Canis lupus familiaris: one gene and its partner. The protein of the gene in region 1 purifies or fractionates together with the protein of each later gene. This does not show direct contact. Links are inferred from orthologs where the notes say so. Each region holds a gene or a part of one and is shown on either strand. Other genes may lie near its edges.

Region 1 (3,700 bases):
GAAATGAACAAGGTGGTAGCAACTCTATCAGGGAACTTAGAAGCTGGTCTGATTACCTAATTAGGTATCACTTAAACAATTGCCTCCTGATCTCCAGGTGAATAACAAACTGCCACAAAGCTTTCCAAAAGTACTTCTAAAATTTTCTTCCAACTACTTACTTAGCTATTATGACACCTATTTACCAAATCTCCTTTCAGTACCCACTCTAAGACAGAAGGAGAAAAAAACCTGTGGAGTAGTTCACACAACAGAGACAGAACATGGACTCAAATTTAAACCCTCTGTACAATATCCGGGCCTGAAACCCTTTGTACAATATCCAGGCCTGTGAGAAACAAGTGACTTACCTCGTCGCCCACCTCCACTTCCACCTCCTCTCATGAATTCAGGTCTTCTGGTAGCAAAGGACACTTTAATGATATTGCCATGGAATTCTTTTCCTAAGAAAAAAAGAGTTTTGAAGAAATGCTACTCCACATCTCCAACTCTCAATAAAATATAAAACTATCTTAGAAATTCTTAGTTTCAGAGCAGTAACACGTCCTCACAAAAATTCAAACACACCAGTGTTCCCTAAGGGTCAAAATAACAGTGCTAAAACATAATCTATTGAGTAAAGCAAATCTGTCACTTGGACGCAGTTACTTCTTACTAAGGAGAAAAAAAAGAAAAAAACCCACATCTAACATTTTTATATGAGAAGAGCCAAGTGCAGAACCATGTGTATAGTATGCTACCACTTCTGTTTTATAAAGGGGAATGAGTGTGTTGGTGAGCACAAGTGCCCTTACATGCACACATATGCTATATGTACATTGCCTATTATGCTCAACTCTCAGTAGGGAAAAACAGATCACTGGAGGTCAAAGGTAGAAAGCAAGCCCATTTTTTACTACACACTTCTGGTATAGTTTGAAACTTTTTTAACCATATACAAGTAGCATTTTTAAAAATAATACAGGCCCAAAAAATGAAAGCATATGTGATTGCTTACAAACACACACACACATATATATATATTCTGCCCCAGGGCCTTAGAGATAGTAATTAATCTTTTTACTTTATATTAAACCAGAAGATTCATAAAATGATTGCAATTCCAGAAGCCTCAGAATCCTGATCAAAGCCCTTATCATTATGGCTGGCAACTTTCCACAATATCAGACAGTATGACCTAGGAAGCCACTCAAGGATCAGTATTTTCAAAGCTACAGAATAACCTGAACTATGGAGTTAAGAGGCTCCCATGCCCTATGGGAAAAAAGCACAATTACTTTTAACATAATGAGCAAAAGAGATTGTGTTTTAATTCACCAAAACTATAGAAAACAAATGAGGAAAATGGACCACGTCTTAAAGAGCAAGGTGATAAGGCCTGACAAATTAATGCAAAAAAGTAAAGAATATGAAGATGACGACAGGAAGAGTATCACAATCTCATTTTTTAAGAAATAAAGAAATGCAATTATGTTTTGAAAGACATAGGTACAATCATCTCAGAACCAGAGGGACCTCAGGTATCTGTCAATTTCATCTAGTATGGTTAAGTCCTTTAGAGACTGTGGATCCAGACTGCCTGAGTTTAAATCCTGACTCTGCCAGTTATGCTATGACCTTGGAAAAAATTTTTTTAAAGATTTATTTATTTATTTATGATAGACACAGAGAGAGAGAGAGAGAGAGAGAGAGAGAGAGAGAGAGGCAGAGACACAGGAGGAGGGAGAAGCAGGCTCCATGCCAGGAGCCTGACGTGGGACTTGACCCCGGGACTGCAGGATCGCGCCCTGGGCCAAAGGCAGGCGCTAAACCACTGAGCCACCCAGGGATCCCTGACCCTGGAAATTATACAGCTTCTCTGTGTCTGTTTCAAAATCTAAAAATAGTAGTAATAGGGTGCATGTCTCATACAGTTATTTTGAGGACCAAACTGAATTAATGCATATAAAGTTTCTAGGACCATGTCTACACTATAAACCAGTAAACACGCAGTTGGTGTTGGTTCTAATTAGAGTATAAAACAATGAATTTCTAATAACATGGGGAAATGACTGTTAAAATGTTAAGTGAAAAAAAGATGAGACAAAACTACATTTGGAGTATAATGATAAACTATTTTTCTTAAATACTTTTAAAAGAATGGAAGGAAAAAAAATTTTTTTTAAATATTTTATTTATTCATGAAAGACACAGAGAGAGATAGAAACATAGGCAGAGGGTGAAGCAGGTTCCCTGCAAGGAGCCTGATGCAGGACTCAATCCTAGGACCCCCGGGATCACAACCTGAGCCAAAGGCAAACACTCAACCACTGAGCCACCCAAGATCCCCGTATTAAAAAATATTATAAAAAAAAAATATATATATATATATATATAAAATCAATGATTATCTCTAAGTAGAGGATTACAGATGCTTTACTGCTTTCTTCTACTTTCCCATATTTTCCTGTTTTGGGGGAAAAAAGTCTTAACATTTCTTCCAAATATGTATTAACTTTATATTTGAAGAGATATTAATCTAAATTTACAAAGAAGAGAGTTAAGCAGGTCAACCCTCTAAATTTCCATCAGGGTGGCTTCAAGCACAAGGTAGAGTAATAAGGAAATACTGGAGAGGGGATCCCTGGGTGGCGCAGCGTTTTGGTGCCTGCCTTTGGCCCAGGGCATGATCCTAGAGACCCGGGATCGAATCCCACATCAGGCTCCCGGTGCATGGAGCCTGCTTCTCCCTCTGCCTGTGTCTCTGCCTCTCTCTCTCTCTCTCTCTCTCTCTGTGTGACTATCATAAATAAATAAAAATTTAAAAAAAAAAAAAAAAGGAAATACTGGAGACAAACAATGAGAGAGCTCTTCTACCTCATTTCTAAAGATATGTAAAAACTCTGGTCTTCATTTTTTTTTCTAATGTTTTTTTTTTTTTTTAATTTTTATTTATTTATGATAGTCACAGAGAGAGAGAGAGGCAGAGACACAGGCAGAGGGAGAAGCAGGCTCCATGCACCGGGAGCCTGACGTGGGATTCGATCCCGGGTCTCCAGGATCGCGCCCTGGGCCAAAGGCAGGCGCCAAACCGCTGCGCCACCCAGGGATCCCTGGTTTTTATTTTTAATAAAAAATATCCACAAAAGTAAACATGAAAACAACCAGTTACTAGAATATATTTTGACTTCAAGACTAGAAAACATTTAACCAAACTGCATATTGAAACTATATGAATAAGATATACCATCAAACCAGTCAATGGCTGCCTTAGCTGAAGGAGGATCATCAAATGACACTGTTGCCTCTCCTTTTGGCTTCCCTGTGTCCTTGTCTGTATACAGATTTATCATTGGTTTTCCTGTCTTCTTATTTGTCTGAAGAAACAAAAAGCTGGTATCAGCATTTTAAGAAAAAGTAATCATAAACCACACAATTAAAGATTTTTTTTTAAAGGAATTCACATATCCATACTACAAATCTATGTACCTAATATAAAAATGAAGTTTTCTATTGGTTCTGAAAAGGAAAACTTAAGTAAAACCCAAGCTATGAAAATGATACAATGTTTTATCTATGTATAATTTCTTGAAACTCACAAAAAAAATGTAGATAATGCTTCATGTAAAAATGTACCTTGTAAAACATAAAAAAGTCAGGAAGAATGTACACCAGGCAAATTAATAGATTACCACTAAGGTATACAAACTGCAGCTGGCTG
Region 2 (4,544 bases), on another chromosome or scaffold:
ATAGAAACTTTCATAGTTTACGTATTCTCAATTAAATGGAAATATTTTTCATAACACGAATATTTAAAAATGTAAAACTATCTAAGGACACTTATAGACTCAAAGAAGCATCATCATAACTACATTTAAACTTTGATTCATGAAGGGACTAATTATCCAGTTTGTGAACCTGTAAGCCCCTGTAGCTCTCTTCCCATTCTTTGCAAAGAATTTGAAACTCCAGTTTGTGAGTTGTTTATAAGCTCCAAGGACATCGTAACCAAAGGCCAAATGAGTTTTTGGCACTATTTGGAAGTTCCTATTTTGGGTGCCTTCCCCCTCCACTGACTTTCACCGAGAATTAGCAGTACTGTACATACTCCATTAGTTAATTTCAACTGTCATTCCACAGATGTATTTCATCTTTATGACGACTGAGTGGTAAAACACATGGTTCTTGGAAGCTATGGAGAAGAAACTTGAAAAAATAAAATGCATTCAACGGTTAAATCATACTGGCCTCTGCTAGTATTGCTCCAGTTTCAAGTTAACATTCGGGGCAGCACTACTCCAGCTCCAGCACCACACAGTGGGTAGGACTGAGCTCTCTGATAGTGGGACGTTGTCTAGTCACTGTGCAGGCTTTCTTGGGGGTGTCGCATGCGCCCCTCTATCACGTATCTAAGTGCTGGCCCCCTGTGCGCAACCTCAAGAACCTAACATGCCTTTTATTTGGGAAAAGGGAAAAATCAAACTTCTAAAACACACCCAAATACACAACAGATTTCGGGAGCCGATTGTCTCTTTTTTCTTTCTTAGAAAATCCCGGCCCTTTGACTCGTCCTGAGCTCTTACTGGCTTCAGCACGACTTATGGGGGGTGTTCCTGCGGGGGGGGGGGGGGGGAGAGGCGGCGGAGGGCACGATCCGGGGGCGTGAGCTCGCGGGGGGCCGTCTGGGCGGGCGGACGTGCCCCTCCGAGGCTCGCCCCGCTCTCCCGCCCCGGGGCGGCCGGACCAGCCCTGCCATCCGGGCTGGGGAAGAGACAAAAGGGATGCTCTGTCCTCGCCCTTCCCGAGCCTAAAATCCAGGGCGCAGGGCAGGGCCTGGGAACATTCCACCAAATGCGAGACGGAAGGCACCCCCCGCGGGCAGGGCCTGCCCGTCCGTGCCGTACACATCAACACGGAAATAAGATTTCGAGGCGTTTTAAGCAGCGGGCTGGCGAGCGAGAGAAAGAGGCAGGCCCATCCAAGATGGAAGCAAGGCCGAGGGCTCGGGCGGAAGCCGCCGGGCCGGGGCCGGGGCCGGGGCCGGGGCCGCCGGGCTCTGGGTGCAGCAGCCCCGCGCCCGGGGGCCGAGAGCGAGGCGAGGGCCGCCAGCACCCAGCTCGGGAGGCCGCCCGGCTGCGGCGGATCGCTGTAACCGAAAGGCGGCCCCCCTCCTCCCCCAGCTCGGCCCCGCGGGAAGCGCACTGCGCGGCCGGCGCCGCGCTCTCGGCGGGTTGGGCGTGGGGGCGGGGAGGGCAGGGCGGGCGGGCGGGCGGGGGCGGGGGCGGGGCGCGGGGGCGGGGCCCCGCGGCGCGGGCGCGCTCCCCCCCGCAGCGGAGCTCCCGTCAGCGCAGGGGGCGGGGCGCCTATATTACGTGCGCGGCGCCGCCCCTGCGAGAGGACGTTGCGTGCTCGCTCGCGCCAGGCGAGTCTCCGCGTCTCCCTCGCGAACTCGGTGAAAGGAATTGGCGCCGTTCGACACCAGGCGGGTCCGCTCTGCAGCACGAACCCACCTCTAGCCGCAGCCGCAGCCGCCGCCCGGGCCGAGGAGCAGCCGCAGCAGCCGCCACCAGTGGCCGAGGGAGCGGAGCCGAGTTTGAGCCAGCGCCTAGCGGTGAATCGGGGCCCTCACCATGAGTTCCTCGCCTGTTAATGTAAAAAAGCTGAAGGTCTCGGAGCTGAAAGAGGAGCTCAAGAAGCGGCGCCTTTCCGACAAGGGCCTCAAGGCCGAGCTCATGGAGCGCCTCCAGGCCGCGCTGGACGACGAGGAGGCCGGGGGCCGCCCCGCCATGGAGCCCGGGAACGGCAGCCTAGACCTGGGCGGGGATTCCGCCGGGCGCTCGGGAGCAGGCCTCGAGCAGGAGGCCGCGGCCGGCGGCGACGAGGAGGAGGAGGAGGAGGAAGAGGAGGAGGAAGGGATCGCCGCCCTGGATGGCGACCAGATGGAGCTAGGAGAGGAGAACGGGGCCGCGGGGGCGGCCGACGCGGGCCCGATGGAGGAGGAGGAGGCCGCCTCGGAGGACGAGAACGGCGACGATCAGGGCTTCCAGGAAGGGGAGGATGAGCTCGGCGACGAGGAGGAAGGCGCGGGCGACGAGAACGGGCACGGGGAGCAGCAGCCTCAACCGCCGGCGACGCCGCAACAGCAGCCGCCACAGCAGCGCGGGGCCGCCAAGGAGGCCGCGGGGAAGAGCAGCGGCCCCACCTCGCTGTTCGCGGTGACGGTGGCGCCGCCCGGGGCGAGGCAGGGCCAGCAGCAGGCGGGAGGTAAGAAGAAGGCGGAAGGCGGCGGAGGCGGCGGTCGCCCCGGGGCTCCGGCGGCGGGTGAGTGCTGCGTTGTACGTTGCGCGCGGCGGGAGGCCCGCGCGGGGTGGGGACCGTGCCCCAGGCCTGCCGGAGCCCCGCGGGGGGGAGGGGGCGGGGGCCGCCGCGGGGGAGGCGGGGGGGAGGGGGCGCGGGGAATCCCGCCCGGCCGCGAGGCCTCGGCGGCCTCGGGCTCGGCGTGTGCGACGGCGGCGGCGCCTCCATTATGTGGCTGGAGGGCCGGGGGGTGGGGGTGGTAGCTGCAGCTGCCGCTGGAGGGGGAGGAGCCGCGGGCGGCGGGCGGGAGCCCGGTCGGCCCGCGGTGGCGCCGCTGCGCTGCGTGCGCGCGGTGCGGGCACATGTCTCGGGGGGGGGAGGGGAGAAGAGAGGCCCGAGGGCCCGGGGCGGGCGCGCTTTGGCGGCGCTGGGCCGCGGTATTGTGCAAGGAGCGCAGGGGCTCGGCGTGACGTCACTTCCGGCGGGAGGGGCCGGGCGGGGAGAGCGGGGCGGAAGATCAGTACAATGCGGCCGCGGGGAACGCGGGCCCGGGTGGGGGAGGGGAGGAGGGGAGGGGCGGGCGCGCGGGCCGGCGCGGCCCCTCCCCCCTTCCTGAACTCTCTCCGGGATCCACGTGGGCTCGGGGCCGGGGCCGCCCTGGGCTCCGGGAGCTTTCTCGAATCTTCGAAGAGGCTGGCAAAATTAGGAATGTCTTTAGACTGCGTCACTAGCTCCTGGCCGGTTCCAAGCTGATTGTTCTTTGAATTCGCGTTGGATTCGTCGGTTGAAATCGCTTGCAGAAAAGAACGGGGGAGTTAGGAGTATTTGCGTTCCCCAAACAGGAGGGGGGATTTTTTTTTCTTTTTCCCCGGTTGCGTCGCGGCTTGGCCCCTTATGTTAGGGGTGTTGTGTGTTATAGGAGACGGCAAAACAGAGCAGAAGGGCGGAGATAAAAAGAGAGGGGTGAAAAGACCTCGAGAAGATCATGGCCGTGGATATTTTGAGTACATTGAAGAGAACAAGTATAGCAGGTAGAGGATGCCGATCTAGTTTTACCCGTCCCCGTTCTTTCTGGGGTAGGAAAAGCTGAATCAGGAGACAATTCTGTCTTTCAGAGCCAAATCTCCTCAGCCACCTGTTGAAGAAGAAGATGAGCACTTCGATGACACAGTGGTTTGTCTTGATACTTGTAAGTGAAGCTGTTTCTTCCCTTTTCTCCCCCGGTTACTAAATGTGGCGATTTTGGTGCCAAAATGTTAGAGAACTTAAACGCAGTGTGCTGAATTTAAATGCAGAATACTTAGCGTAAACCGTTTACCTTTTTTAAAGGAGGGAGACGAAAGGTTTTATTCAGATTCTGGTAGCTAAATGTCTAATACAGCATCAATTGTGTCGTATTGATAATTTTATAGGCTCCAGCAATTTGGTGTTATTTTTTATATGATTAGAAAGTTCTCATTTATAGGAATGTAAAATTAATGGCAATTTTTGGTTTAGTTAGCTAATGGAAACTTGTAAGACAACCTGTAACTTGTCCTTTTAGGCTCCTACGATAAAGTAATTTAATTTTTTTGGTAGCATTTTATTAAGTGAGCTATTTGGGCTAGTTAAATACGTATTAATGATTTTTTCCCATTAGCACACAAGTATATTCCCTATTCTAAAAGATTGTAATATTACTTTTTCAATAACTGCTCTTTTGTTCTCAATTCCAGTTCAGTAGCTGCTGCTTTAACATAAGTTGATTTCTTCCAAAGACCTGGGGCAGCAGCAGTGGGCTATCACTGGGCTACTAGCTTTCTTCAGCAGCGAATGGTATCAATGGCAGCGCTGTAAATACTGCTACTTTACCCAGTTGGGTTGCAATTGAGTATGAGGAAGTATTGCAAACCTCTAAATGGGCCTTGGCTGTCAGATATGTAATTTTGCATAAAAATACTTTGTTCAGTATTTGATCAGAATGCACAGCTCTTTCACTTTGATAAATAGAGCTTAG

Evidence for each region.
Region 2: the proteins of TAF15 (region 1) and HNRNPU purify together in Homo sapiens (affinity purification with mass spectrometry; 3 studies listed by BioGRID, with this or other methods). This does not show direct contact. The link is inferred for Canis lupus familiaris from reciprocal best matches to the Homo sapiens genes TAF15 and HNRNPU.

The regions. Positions count from the first base shown.
Region 1 is NC_049230.1:37,813,130-37,816,829, forward strand, and holds part of TAF15 (TATA-binding protein-associated factor 2N), read right to left. Parts: intron 3,357-3,700; coding exon 3,227-3,356; intron 444-3,226; coding exon 351-443; intron 1-350. UniProt on the Homo sapiens protein: RNA and ssDNA-binding protein that may play specific roles during transcription initiation at distinct promoters. Binds to ssRNA containing the consensus sequence 5'-AGGUAA-3'. Can enter the preinitiation complex together with the RNA polymerase II (Pol II).
Region 2 is NC_049228.1:35,785,501-35,790,044, reverse strand, and holds the start of HNRNPU (heterogeneous nuclear ribonucleoprotein U), read left to right. Parts: upstream 1-1,642; 5' UTR 1,643-1,881; coding exon 1,882-2,572; intron 2,573-3,467; coding exon 3,468-3,579; intron 3,580-3,663; coding exon 3,664-3,737; intron 3,738-4,544. UniProt on the Homo sapiens protein: DNA- and RNA-binding protein involved in several cellular processes such as nuclear chromatin organization, telomere-length regulation, transcription, mRNA alternative splicing and stability, Xist-mediated transcriptional silencing and mitotic cell progression.